Macaca fascicularis: one gene and its partners. The protein of the gene in region 1 binds, or shares a complex with, the protein of each later gene. Links are inferred from orthologs where the notes say so. Each region holds a gene or a part of one and is shown on either strand. Other genes may lie near its edges.

Evidence for each region.
Region 2: CDHR2 (region 1) and CDHR5 share a complex: the UniProt entries of both Homo sapiens proteins name them as parts of the IMAC/intermicrovillar adhesion complex. The link is inferred for Macaca fascicularis from reciprocal best matches to the Homo sapiens genes CDHR2 and CDHR5.
Region 3: CDHR2 (region 1) and ANKS4B share a complex: the UniProt entries of both Homo sapiens proteins name them as parts of the IMAC/intermicrovillar adhesion complex. The link is inferred for Macaca fascicularis from reciprocal best matches to the Homo sapiens genes CDHR2 and ANKS4B.

Annotation. Positions count from the first base shown.
Region 1 is NC_088380.1:183,478,126-183,481,774, reverse strand, and holds part of CDHR2 (cadherin-related family member 2), read right to left. Parts: intron 3,008-3,649; coding exon 2,918-3,007; intron 2,006-2,917; coding exon 1,880-2,005; intron 1,810-1,879; coding exon 1,663-1,809; intron 1,583-1,662; coding exon 1,507-1,582; intron 1,396-1,506; coding exon 1,280-1,395; intron 1,165-1,279; coding exon 931-1,164; intron 1-930. UniProt on the Homo sapiens protein: Intermicrovillar adhesion molecule that forms, via its extracellular domain, calcium-dependent heterophilic complexes with CDHR5 on adjacent microvilli. Thereby, controls the packing of microvilli at the apical membrane of epithelial cells.
Region 2 is NC_088388.1:521,989-524,805, reverse strand, and holds part of CDHR5 (cadherin-related family member 5), read left to right. Parts: intron 1-527; coding exon 528-620; intron 621-767; coding exon 768-869; intron 870-975; coding exon 976-1,086; intron 1,087-1,172; coding exon 1,173-1,343; intron 1,344-2,031; coding exon 2,032-2,122; intron 2,123-2,287; coding exon 2,288-2,385; intron 2,386-2,504; exon of another isoform or gene 2,505-2,563; coding exon 2,564-2,764; intron 2,765-2,817. UniProt on the Homo sapiens protein: Intermicrovillar adhesion molecule that forms, via its extracellular domain, calcium-dependent heterophilic complexes with CDHR2 on adjacent microvilli. Thereby, controls the packing of microvilli at the apical membrane of epithelial cells.
Region 3 is NC_088394.1:20,669,213-20,673,311, forward strand, and holds the start of ANKS4B (ankyrin repeat and SAM domain-containing protein 4B), read left to right. Parts: upstream 1-1,257; 5' UTR 1,258-1,294; coding exon 1,295-1,458; intron 1,459-4,099. UniProt on the Homo sapiens protein: As part of the intermicrovillar adhesion complex/IMAC plays a role in epithelial brush border differentiation, controlling microvilli organization and length. Plays a role in assembly of the complex.

The DNA of each region.
Region 1 (3,649 bases):
CCATGCAACATTCCCACCCCCTCAGTATCACCTAACATCACACACCCTCCAGAGTTACTCATCCTCCAGCGCCACCATGTAACCCACCTCTCACTGCAGCCTCCACTTAAGGGTGCCCTCCCATGGCCAGTCATGGTGACTCACGCCTGTAATCCCAGCACTTTGGGAGGCTAAGGTGGGTGGATCACTTGAGGCCAGGAGTTCGAGACCAGCCTGGCCAACAGGGTGAAACTCCATCTCTACTAAAAACAGAAAAATTAGCTGGGTGAGGTGGTGCACGCCTGTAATCACAGCTATTCGGGAGGCTGAGGCAGGAGAATCACTTGAACCTGGAAGGCAGAGGCTGCAGTGAGCCAAGATTGGGCCATTGCACTCCAGCCTAAGCAACAGAGTGAAACTCCATCTCAAAAAAAAAAAAAAACACCCTCCCACCTCACACCCTCAAACCACTTGTCCCAACACTGCTCAGCCTCCTCCAGTTCCCATGACTACCCAAATCATGGCCACCCAATGCCAGGAGACCTTGTCAGCCACCCATCACCACGGACAATGACGTTCTACTCAGCATCATCTGACGTTCAACATCAGCCTCCACTCAGCACGGCCTCCTATTCAGCCCCACATGGATTGCCCAGAGGATGACATTGCTTACCGACGAAGGTTTCCAGAGAGCACACAGCACCCCCATTTTCCGTCACCACGCCCTGCACCACCAGCACCACCACCCAGCACCACATGGCACTGTCACTCAATCCGGGCTTCCACTGGCCTCCCCCAGCCACCCCTGCCCACACCCACGCCACCACACCTGCCTTGTCCGGGTCGTAGGCCACCTTGCCACCCCCGCCCACACCCACGCCACCACACCTGCCTTGTCCGGGTCGTAGGCCACCATGCCACCCCCGCCCACACCCGCACCACCACGCTTGCCTTGTCCGGGTCGTAGACCACCATGGTGAGGTCATCGATGGGGATGCGGGGGGAGGCATGCTCGTCCACGTAGCCAGTGAAGTTCACTTGGGCCTCTTCGGGGGTGAAGGTGCAGGCTGGGAGGCTGCAGTTGTAAAACTCAGGTTTGTGGTCATTGACGTCCAACACTCTCACTGTCACCCAGATGCTCACCTTGGCCTCCTGCCCGTAGATGTTGAGGTGTGTCTCGGTGGCCTGAGGCACAGAGCAGAGGTCAGAGGTCAGAGGTCAGAGAGCCAGTGCTCAGAGAGACCAAAAGCCAGAGGTTAGAGAGCAGGATTCTGACAGGGGTGGTGGGGCCTTTGCTCACCGTGACCTGCAGCTGCACCTCCTCATCCTCCTCCAGCAGTTGCTCACGGTCCAGGGAGCCGTTGACCCTGATCACCCCATCTGCCCCGATGTCAAACCAGCCGGGCCACGTGGAGTCTGGCAAGCAAGGAGACAGGTGGAACAGCTGGAACAGCTGCTCCAGTGGCTCTGACGGAGCACTGACCCCGGCCCCGGCCCAGCCCTGGCCTGGGGACACCCCATTCTCACTGGAGATGCTGTAGATCACAGGGTCATTGATGCCTTTGTCGCCATCCACAGCCTCCACTTTCAGCACCGAGGTTCCCTGGAATGGTGCCTGGTCAGTGCTCCTCAAACTTCCCCCGCCTCCCGCTTCCACTCATACCCCACAGGTCCCCTGGGCACCTTGGCTGCGTCCTCAGCCACAGAGGCCGAGTAAAACTCCCTGACAAACTGGGGGTCAAGGTCAGGCTGGTCCACCACGGAGATGGACAGGAAGGCAGGCAGGGAGCACTGGATGGTGAAGCTGTTGTTGAACATGCCGCCCAAGTCCTGCGGGGAGATGGCCGCCCGTGAGCCAGCGCCGTGGGTCCTAGGCCCCCCCTCTGGCACCCCCACTCACACAGGCCTTCAGCTCCAGCTGGTAGAAAGCGCTCTTGTTGTTGTAGCTGAGGCTGCCACTGAGGATGATGGAGCCATTGGCCAGGATCCGGAAGAGATGCTCGCTGTCCCCAGTGCTAGGGATGACCTGGGGCAGAGCAGACTTGGGTCAGTCTCCCTAGGGACAGCCCTGCCCCGAGGATCCCACTCAGCAACACAGGGAAGGCCCCAGCTCTACCACTGACCAGTCACGCCACTGGCACCAGGTCGTATGACCTCTCTGAGCCTCAGTCTCCAGCTCTGGGAAATGGGGCTGGTGACAACCCTCAGTGGGTTGAAAGGAGGATCCAATAAGATGCAGTCAGCCTTCCATCTCTGTGGGTTCCACATCCACACATTTGACCAGCCACAGATCAAAACTGTAGCTATGCTCACAATGGTTGTGTCTGTACTGAAGATGTACAAACTTTTTCCCTTGCCATGATTCCCTAAACAATATAGCATACATAATACGCTATATTTACATAGTATTTGCATTGCATTGGTATTAGAGGTAACCTAGAGGTGATTTAAAGTACACAGGAGGATGTGTCTAGGTTACATGCAAATACTACCCCCATTGCATGTCCAGGGACTTGAGCAGCCAGGGATTTTGGTGTCCTCAGGGATCCTGGAGCCAATTCCCCACAGATACCAAGGGGTGACTGCATGGTATGTGCCAGGCACGCGGTTGGTGCTCGGTAAATGGCGCTATCAACAGCAACTCTGTTTCCATGAGAAATGGGTTCACACGCCCCTTACTGTCTGTGGAACCTGGACAAGACCTGGGAGCAGGCGGGCGGGAAGAAGGGTCTGGTCTGCAGCAGGCACCCTCTTTAGGCAAGTGGGCAAAGTGAGGTTTCCGGGGAGGGGGGCTGGTGGCCAGAGGAAGGTTTGGGGGCCAGGGCTGGGCCAAGGCACGACCAACGTCCCCACCCCAACGCTCGGGCCCCGTGGGTTGTCTGTGGATATGCTGCCCCCTGGCGGTCACGAAGGCGGTCAGGGCCCCCTTCATACTCACCTTCTCTATGGAGTACACGACCATGCCGGCAGGTCCCATGTCTTTATCCACGGCCAGCACGGAGAACACCACGCTGCCCACGGGCAGGGTCTGCAGGGAGGGACCCGTCGCTTACCAGCTCAAACCCAGCTCCTCCTCTCCCTCGTCTGTCACTGCCCCCCGAGCTTCAGTGTCCTCAGCTGTGCACTCAGGGGACAGTGTTCCCCTGTCCTTCCCACCAGGGCTGCGGGTGGAAGGCAGCTGGGGGTGCGGGGCGGCAGGGAGGATCTCCCTCCTCCCCGCCCCACACAGCCTCTCCACCACCTGAGCTGGCTTCTGATTTTCGGAGCCCCTCAGAACCAGGACGAGGGATCATTCTAGAGCCCAGCCTCACAGTGCCACTGCACACTCAGACATCCCATGTGCTCTCTACAGCCTATAGCCATGGGTTTCAAACAGCACCCTACAGAGCTGGGGGCTTCTTCTGGGAGCCCTCTGCTCCTGGGCTCCTGTACACACGACCTCTACTTCCTTTTTTTGTTTGTTTTGTTTTTGCCTGAGACGGAGTTTCACTTTTTCGCCCAGGCTGGAGTGAAGTGGCACAATCTCGGCTCACTGTAACCTCTGCCCCCTGGATTTAAGCGATCCTCCTGCCTCAGCCTCCCCAGTAGCTGGGATTATAGGCACCCACCACCAAGCCCAGCTAATTTTTTTTTTTTTTTTTGTATTTTTAGTAGAGACAGGGTTTTGCCA
Region 2 (2,817 bases), on another chromosome or scaffold:
TAAAAAATTACCCGGGTGTGATGGCGGCGCCTGTAATCCCAGCTACTCGAGAGGCAGAGGCAGGAGAACCGCTTAAACCTGGGAGGCAGATGTTGCAGTGAGCCAAGATCACGCCACTGCACTCCAGCCTGGGTGACAGAATGAGACTCTGTATCCAAAAAGAAAACAAAGAAAAGAACTGGATTGTCTTTCCTCGCTTGAGATTCTGCTGGTTGCATCCCCAAGTACCTGCATTATTTTTCTGTGGCGCACCTGCCACCTCCTGGCTTTATAAAGTCCTTTTTGTCTGTTGTTGTAAGTCCTGCCAGGACAGGCACCACCGGGCAGAGATTTGTCTCTTGTGATCTCTGCATCCCAGCACCTAGAGCTGTGCAGCCCCCCTGCAGCCCCCCAACACCACTGAGCGAGTGGACGGATAGCTGTCGAGGGGTGCACCTCACTCACGATGGGGAAGGATAGCGTCGAGGGGTACACCTCACTCATGATGGGGAGCGGCTGTGGGAGAGGCTGACGGCCACATCCTGCAGGTGACCCAGCTGAGGGTGTTCGTGTCAGTGCTGGACGTCAATGACAACGCCCCCGAATTCCCCTTTACAACCAAGGAGATAAGGGTGGAAGAGGTGAGGCCAGCGAAGCTGCCAGGGCTGGGCAGGGGGTGCGGGAGCCCAGGGTGAGGGCAAGGGGCGAGTGGTGGCCGGGGGCTCAACCACAGCGGGGGTCCACAGGGGCCAAGAGTGTGGCCAGACCAAGCCCCTCTCCCTCCCTAGGACACTAAAGTAAACTCCACCGTCATCCCTGAGACAGAACTGCAGGCCAAGGACAAAGACAAGGATGACCTTCTGTTCTACACCCTCCAGGAAGCGACCGCAGTCAGTGCCGCCTGCCCTGCCCCAGCGTGAGCCCCTCGCCACTGACACCCGCAGCCGCCCTCGCCCTCCCAGGCTCTTAGGCTGTGTCCTCCCTGATCCTCCCCAGGGTGCCAGTGACTACTTCTCCCTGGTGGGTGTAAACTATCCCGCCCTGAGGCTGGACCGGCCCCTGGACTTCTACGAGCGGCCCAACATGGCCTTCCGGCTGCTGGTGCGGGTGAGCGGCTCACCCCAGCCCTGAGTCCCACATGCTTGAGGTCCCCCTGGCCCCAGCTGCTCCCAGGCCTGATCTGGCTGTTGCAGGACACTCCGGAGGAGAATGTGGAGCCCAGCCACACGGCCACCGCCACGCTGGTGCTGAACGTGGTGCCTGCCGACCTGCGGCCCCCCTGGTTCCTGCCCTGCACCTTCTCAGACGGCTACGTCTGCATCCAAGCTCAGTACCACGGGGCTGTCCCCACGGGGCACACACTGGTAATGGGGAGGGAGGGGCAGTGCCCGGGGCGGGGCCTTCTAGGCAGGTTGGAGGCAGGGACGGCCAGGATCAGAAGAAGGGCAGGGTCAGGGTCAGCGGGTGGGGCCAAGTTTGGTTGTGACTTTGAAACAAATACAGACTCTCCTTATAAACCAATCTTTCCCATCTTGAGGGAGCAAACCCTGAACACACAGAGAGGAGTGTGGGCCCCAGAGCCAGGCGGTCTCAGGGGCCTGGGGAGGTGGGCTGGGGCCCTGGAGTTCTTAAGGGATGGTGAGATCTCTGCCCTGCTCACAGTCACCACTAGGCCCACACAGGCTGTCTGCAAACCTTCACAGCACCAAGGCACCCGGGGCCACCAAACAGCACATGAGAGGCAGAAACGCAGACCCCGGGAACCCCCCGCTTCCTAAATGTCTGCTTAGCCGTCAAGACAAGCATCGTGCAAATGGCACTCAGTATCTTTGGGCAACTTATTCGTTAGTGAGGGACCCACAGGGGTGTGACTCACTGTGATACTGGGACAAGGGACAGTCCTAGACAGGCAGGGATGCCCGGCCACCAGCGGGACTGGGCCCCTCCTCAGCCAGCCCTGCCCTGGCTGACCTTGATGGGGAGCCAGAGGGGCCAGGTTGGGGCCATTCACCCCAGCCTCACGACGTGCCCTCCTCTCCACCATCCTTGAAGCCATCCCCCCTCGTCCTGCGTCCCGGACCCATCTACGCCGAGGATGGAGACCGCGGCATCAACCAAGCCATCATCTACAGCATCTTCAGTGGTGAGTGGGGCCCAGCCCTCAACAATGCCCCGGACCCCTCTCTGTCCCTGTCTCTGTCCCCACCTTGGGCTGGGGAAGCCCCAGGGGCACCTGCCAGCAAGGCAGAGCTGGCTGGGTCCCTGGGCCTCAGGAGGCCGGGACTGAGCACTTCCATCGTCCTCCCAGGAAATGTGAACAGTACATTTGTCATCCACCGAGACTCCGGCAACCTCACCATGGCCAGGAGTGTCCCCAGAGCCATGACCTTTCTTCTGCTGGTGAAGGTGAGGTAGGGACCTGCACGGGGGGCAGGGCAGTGGGGGCAGGGTGGAAGGTAGGGCGGGGGTCAGGGCGGGGGGGCAGGGCCCCTGCCAAGTCTGCATCTATTCTTCCTGAGCCCCAGGCTTCAGCACCAGCTCCACCGTCAACCCCACGAGTCACGGCTGCCTCCCCCGCCTCCAGGGCCAGCAGGCCGACCTTGCCCGCTACTCAGTGACCCAGGTCACCGTGGAGGCTGTGGCTGCAGCCGGGAGCCCGCCCCGCTTCCCCCAGAGCCTGTACCGTGGCACCGTGGCACTTGGCGCTGGAGCAGGTGTTGTGGTCAAGGATGCAGCTGCCCCCTCTCAGCCTCTGAGGGTCCAGGCTCGGGATCCGGAGTTCTCGGTAGGTAGCACACGCAAGGCTGATGCCTGCCGCCCCCACGGCAGCCTTCCTGT
Region 3 (4,099 bases), on another chromosome or scaffold:
TTTTCATTTTCATTCTGTTCCAAATATATCTGATCTAGGACTTGTATCCAGAGTATGTAAATAATTCTTATAATTTATTAATAAGACAACCCAATTAAAAATTGGGCAAAAGATTTGAATAGAAGATGTAAGAATGGCTAATAGGCACATGAAAAGATGCTCAATATCTTAGTCATTAGGGAATTTAAAATTAAAGCCATAATAAGACCATTTCACATCCACTAGGATGGCCATAAACAAAAAGATAGGCAATAATAAGGCTGGTAAGGATGTAGAGAAATTGAAACCCTCATATGTTATTGGTGGAAATGTGAAGTAGTACAGCAACTTTGGAAAACAGTCTGGCAACTTCTGAAATTTAAATGTAAATTGCCATGCAACCCAGCAATTTTGCTCCTAGATGTATACGCAAGACACATGAAAATATGTGTCCACACAGAGACTTGTATGTCAGTGTTCATAGCAGCATTATTCATCATTACTAAAAAATGGAAACAACTCAAATATTCATCATATTCATGAAACATTGAATGGATGAAGAACATTTGGTATGTTAGTACAGTGGAATATTATTCAGGAGTGAAAAGGAAGAAAGACACTACTGTTACACGCTATACATGACAAACCTCAAAAAAGTTGTGAATTGAAACAAGCTATACGCTAAAGACTATGTATTGTAGGATTCCATTTATCTGAAATGCCCATAGAAAACAAATCTATAGAGACAGAAAGAAGACTGGTGGTTTCCTGGGATTGGGAGTGGAAATGGGATTGACAGCACATGGCACGAGGGATCTTTAAGGGCTGATGGAAACGGGATTATGATAATGGGCATGCAACTTTATAAATGTTCTAAAATCATTGAATTGTATACATAAAATGGGTAAATTTAATGGTGTTATACCTCAATAAAGCTGTTCTTTTTGGAAAAAACAGCTAGTGAACTACACTAGCTCTGCATTTTTTTAAGAAATAATTTCTTACATCCTGTGCCTAGATGGCCAATATTAACTCAAGAAACTAATGGGCATAGAAAAATTAAATGTGCCTCAAAACACTCAAGATGAATACAGCAGTCTTCAATAGTCAACGTCATGTCTATTTCAGAGAGAAAAGGTCCAAGTTCAGTGGCTTGAACCTTGTTGCCTTCCACGGAAGGAAGCAGTTGGAATGAGCTTTGCCCCTGGTGACACTCTTCCTTGTCACTAATTAACCAGCTCTATAGGAAGGTTGCTCCGCCAACACCCTTCTCTGCCTGGAGAGACATCTGGCCAAGTTCCGGTGAGCAGGAAAAATGTCTACTCGTTACCACCAAGCTGCTAGTGATAGTTACCTGGAACTTCTAAAAGAGGCTACCAAGCGAGATCTAAATCTTTCAGATGAAGATGGCATGACTCCCACTCTCTTGGCAGCCTACCATGGGAACCTGGAAGCCCTAGAGATAATCTGCAGTAGAGGGTAAGTTCAACCCGATGGTTTCCGTTGGAAACAGTGTTCACAGTAGGTTTTTGCAGATAGCAGCAAGAGTCAGGGATGTCAATACAAATACTTTATCCTCTTTCTAGATTGTCTAAATGATTGGATTTTTAGAGAAAGAGAGAAAACTATGCCTAGAGATGCTCTCTTTTCTCACTGAGGTCTGGCAATATGGGAGTGGCTCATCCCTTAGCCCCAATCAGAGGAGAGACTCTGAACTCTAAGGCATTATCTGCATGGGGAAGAGGGAAGATATTTTAATTCTATGCCTTTAAAAATGCTTTTCATGAAATTTAAACAGTTTTCTCTTTTAAAAGAGGCCATTATTTTACTTGGTTTTAAGTTGTCAACCTTGGTTGGAACAAATGAGTTTTTAGTTTTTTGTTTGTTTGTTTGTTTGTTTTTTTATCTATGCCATCAAAATCCCACAGTCTTTTATTAACTTTCAATCCCAGTGCAAGCTCATGATTTTTTTTATTTTTTATTTTTGACACAGGGTCTTGCTCTTTTGAGTGGAGTTGCTGGCTCTACAAGGAATCTTTAGCCTGTCTTAGCTCTATCACTTGTTTGGCTAGTGGATAGACACACACACACACACACACACACACACACACACACACCATCTCTTTGCCCAGATTTTAATGGAGGAGTCAGCCAACTCCTCTGCTTGTTCTGCCTGTTATCAGAGGGCTAGGTTGTGTTGGCAACCATAATGCAAGAGGGTAAAGAAAGAGAAAAGGGCAAGGTAAATAAAGGAGCCAGGTGAATCCAATTCAATATACCCATTTATTCAGTATCTGTTATGTGCCAGCTACTTATCTCTTAAGAGATATTTTGCTAGCCACTGGGCACACTGTGATCAACAAGACGGCCACAATCCCTGTCGTAGTGATCAGATTTGAGAGAGGAAGACAAGGCATCTATGATGTGTGTGTGTGTGTGTGTGTGTGTGTGTGTGTGTGCGCGTGCGTGTGTTTGCTTTGAGACAGGGTCTCACTCTGTCACCCAGGCTGGAGTACAGTGTCGAGATCATAGCTGACTGCAGCCTTGAGCCCCAGGCTTAAGTGATCCTCCCACCTGAGCCTCCCAAGTAGCTGGGACTAGAGGTGTGCGCCACCATGCCCTGCAATTTTTGTATTTTTTGTAGTGATGGGGTTTTGCCATGTTGCGCAGGATGGTCTTCAACTTATGAGCTCAAGTGATCTGACAGCCTCGGGCTCCCAAAGTGCTGGGATTATAGATGTGAGCCACTGTGCTTGGTTCATCTATGATATTTGTTACAAAAGAGGAAACAGAGGGTACTAAACAGGCATTTACCTCAATCTCAGGGGTGAGGGAAGGCTTCCCTAAGGGGAAAGCATTTAAGCTGGGATTAGGAAAATGAGAACAAGTTGGCCAGGTGAAAGAGTGTTTTCCCTAAGATGGAAAACTGTGTCCTGAGAACTAGAGAAGCTGAGTATGGCTGGACATGGCTCGAGTAGGAGTGGGGTCAGGGCAAGTGTGAGAGATAAGACCAGATCACAAACAGCCTTGTCAACTCTGGTAAGGACTTTATCCTAAGGGCCCAGGAAGCCATGTCTTAGGTTTATGCAGGGAAGCTTCCAGAGTAGATTTATGTTTACAAAACTCACTGAGGTAGATGGATAACAGTCGGAGAGAATGTTTGGGGATGTTTTAATGGTTGAGATGAGTTGGACTAGGGTAGTGACATTGGGAATGGGAAGATATAGTTGGATTTGAGTGGCAGTTTGGATGTAGAATCAATAATGATTGACTGGACGTGGGCAGATAAAGAAAAAGGAGGGTTAAGGTCCCAGGTTTTGGATGTTGACACCCTTTATTAAAGTAGGGAACATTTAGGAAGAGTCAGAAGAACCCAGGATTGGGAGAGTTCTCGAGTTGAAGATTGAATGAGGAAGTGAGTGAAGCAGATCTTCCCCATCTCTCTTGTCTGATTAAAACTTTCTTTTCTCAGACACATCGATCCCCATCAGCCAGCCTTCTCCAGTCATCTCATCTCTTCTATGCAGCCTAGGGTTCCCCAGCTTTCTCCATCTACAGAAAGGCTACCTCCTTCCACAAACTGCAAGATGTCAGTTACTTTAAAATCAATGTGTTAGCCTATTCTTGCATTGCTATAAGGAAATGCCTGGGCCTGCGTAATTTATAAAGAAAAGAGGTTTCACCGGCTCATAGTTCTGCGGGCTGCACAGGAAGCATAGGAGCTTCTGCTTTTGGGGAGCCTTCAGGAAGCTTCCAATCATGGCAGAAGGAAAAGACATCTCACATGGCAGAAGCAAGAGCAAGAGAGCAAGGGGAGAGGTCCTAGAAACCAGATCTAATGAGAACTCACTATCATGAGGACAGTACTAAGGGGGATGGTGCTAAACCATTCATGATCCAGTCGCCTCCCACCAGTCCCTACCTCCAACATTGTGGATTACAGTTTGATTTGAGATTTGTTCCCCATGAAATCTCACAGATCCAAACTGTGTCAGCCACTGAGTTTGTCCTCCTAGAAGAGGGTGTGGGGTTCTTCTCAGTCAGGAGAGAGCTCTTGTTCCATTTGAGGACCATTTTGAATAGTAATGCTTAGGTATTCTCTCTCTCTCACCTGTGAAAG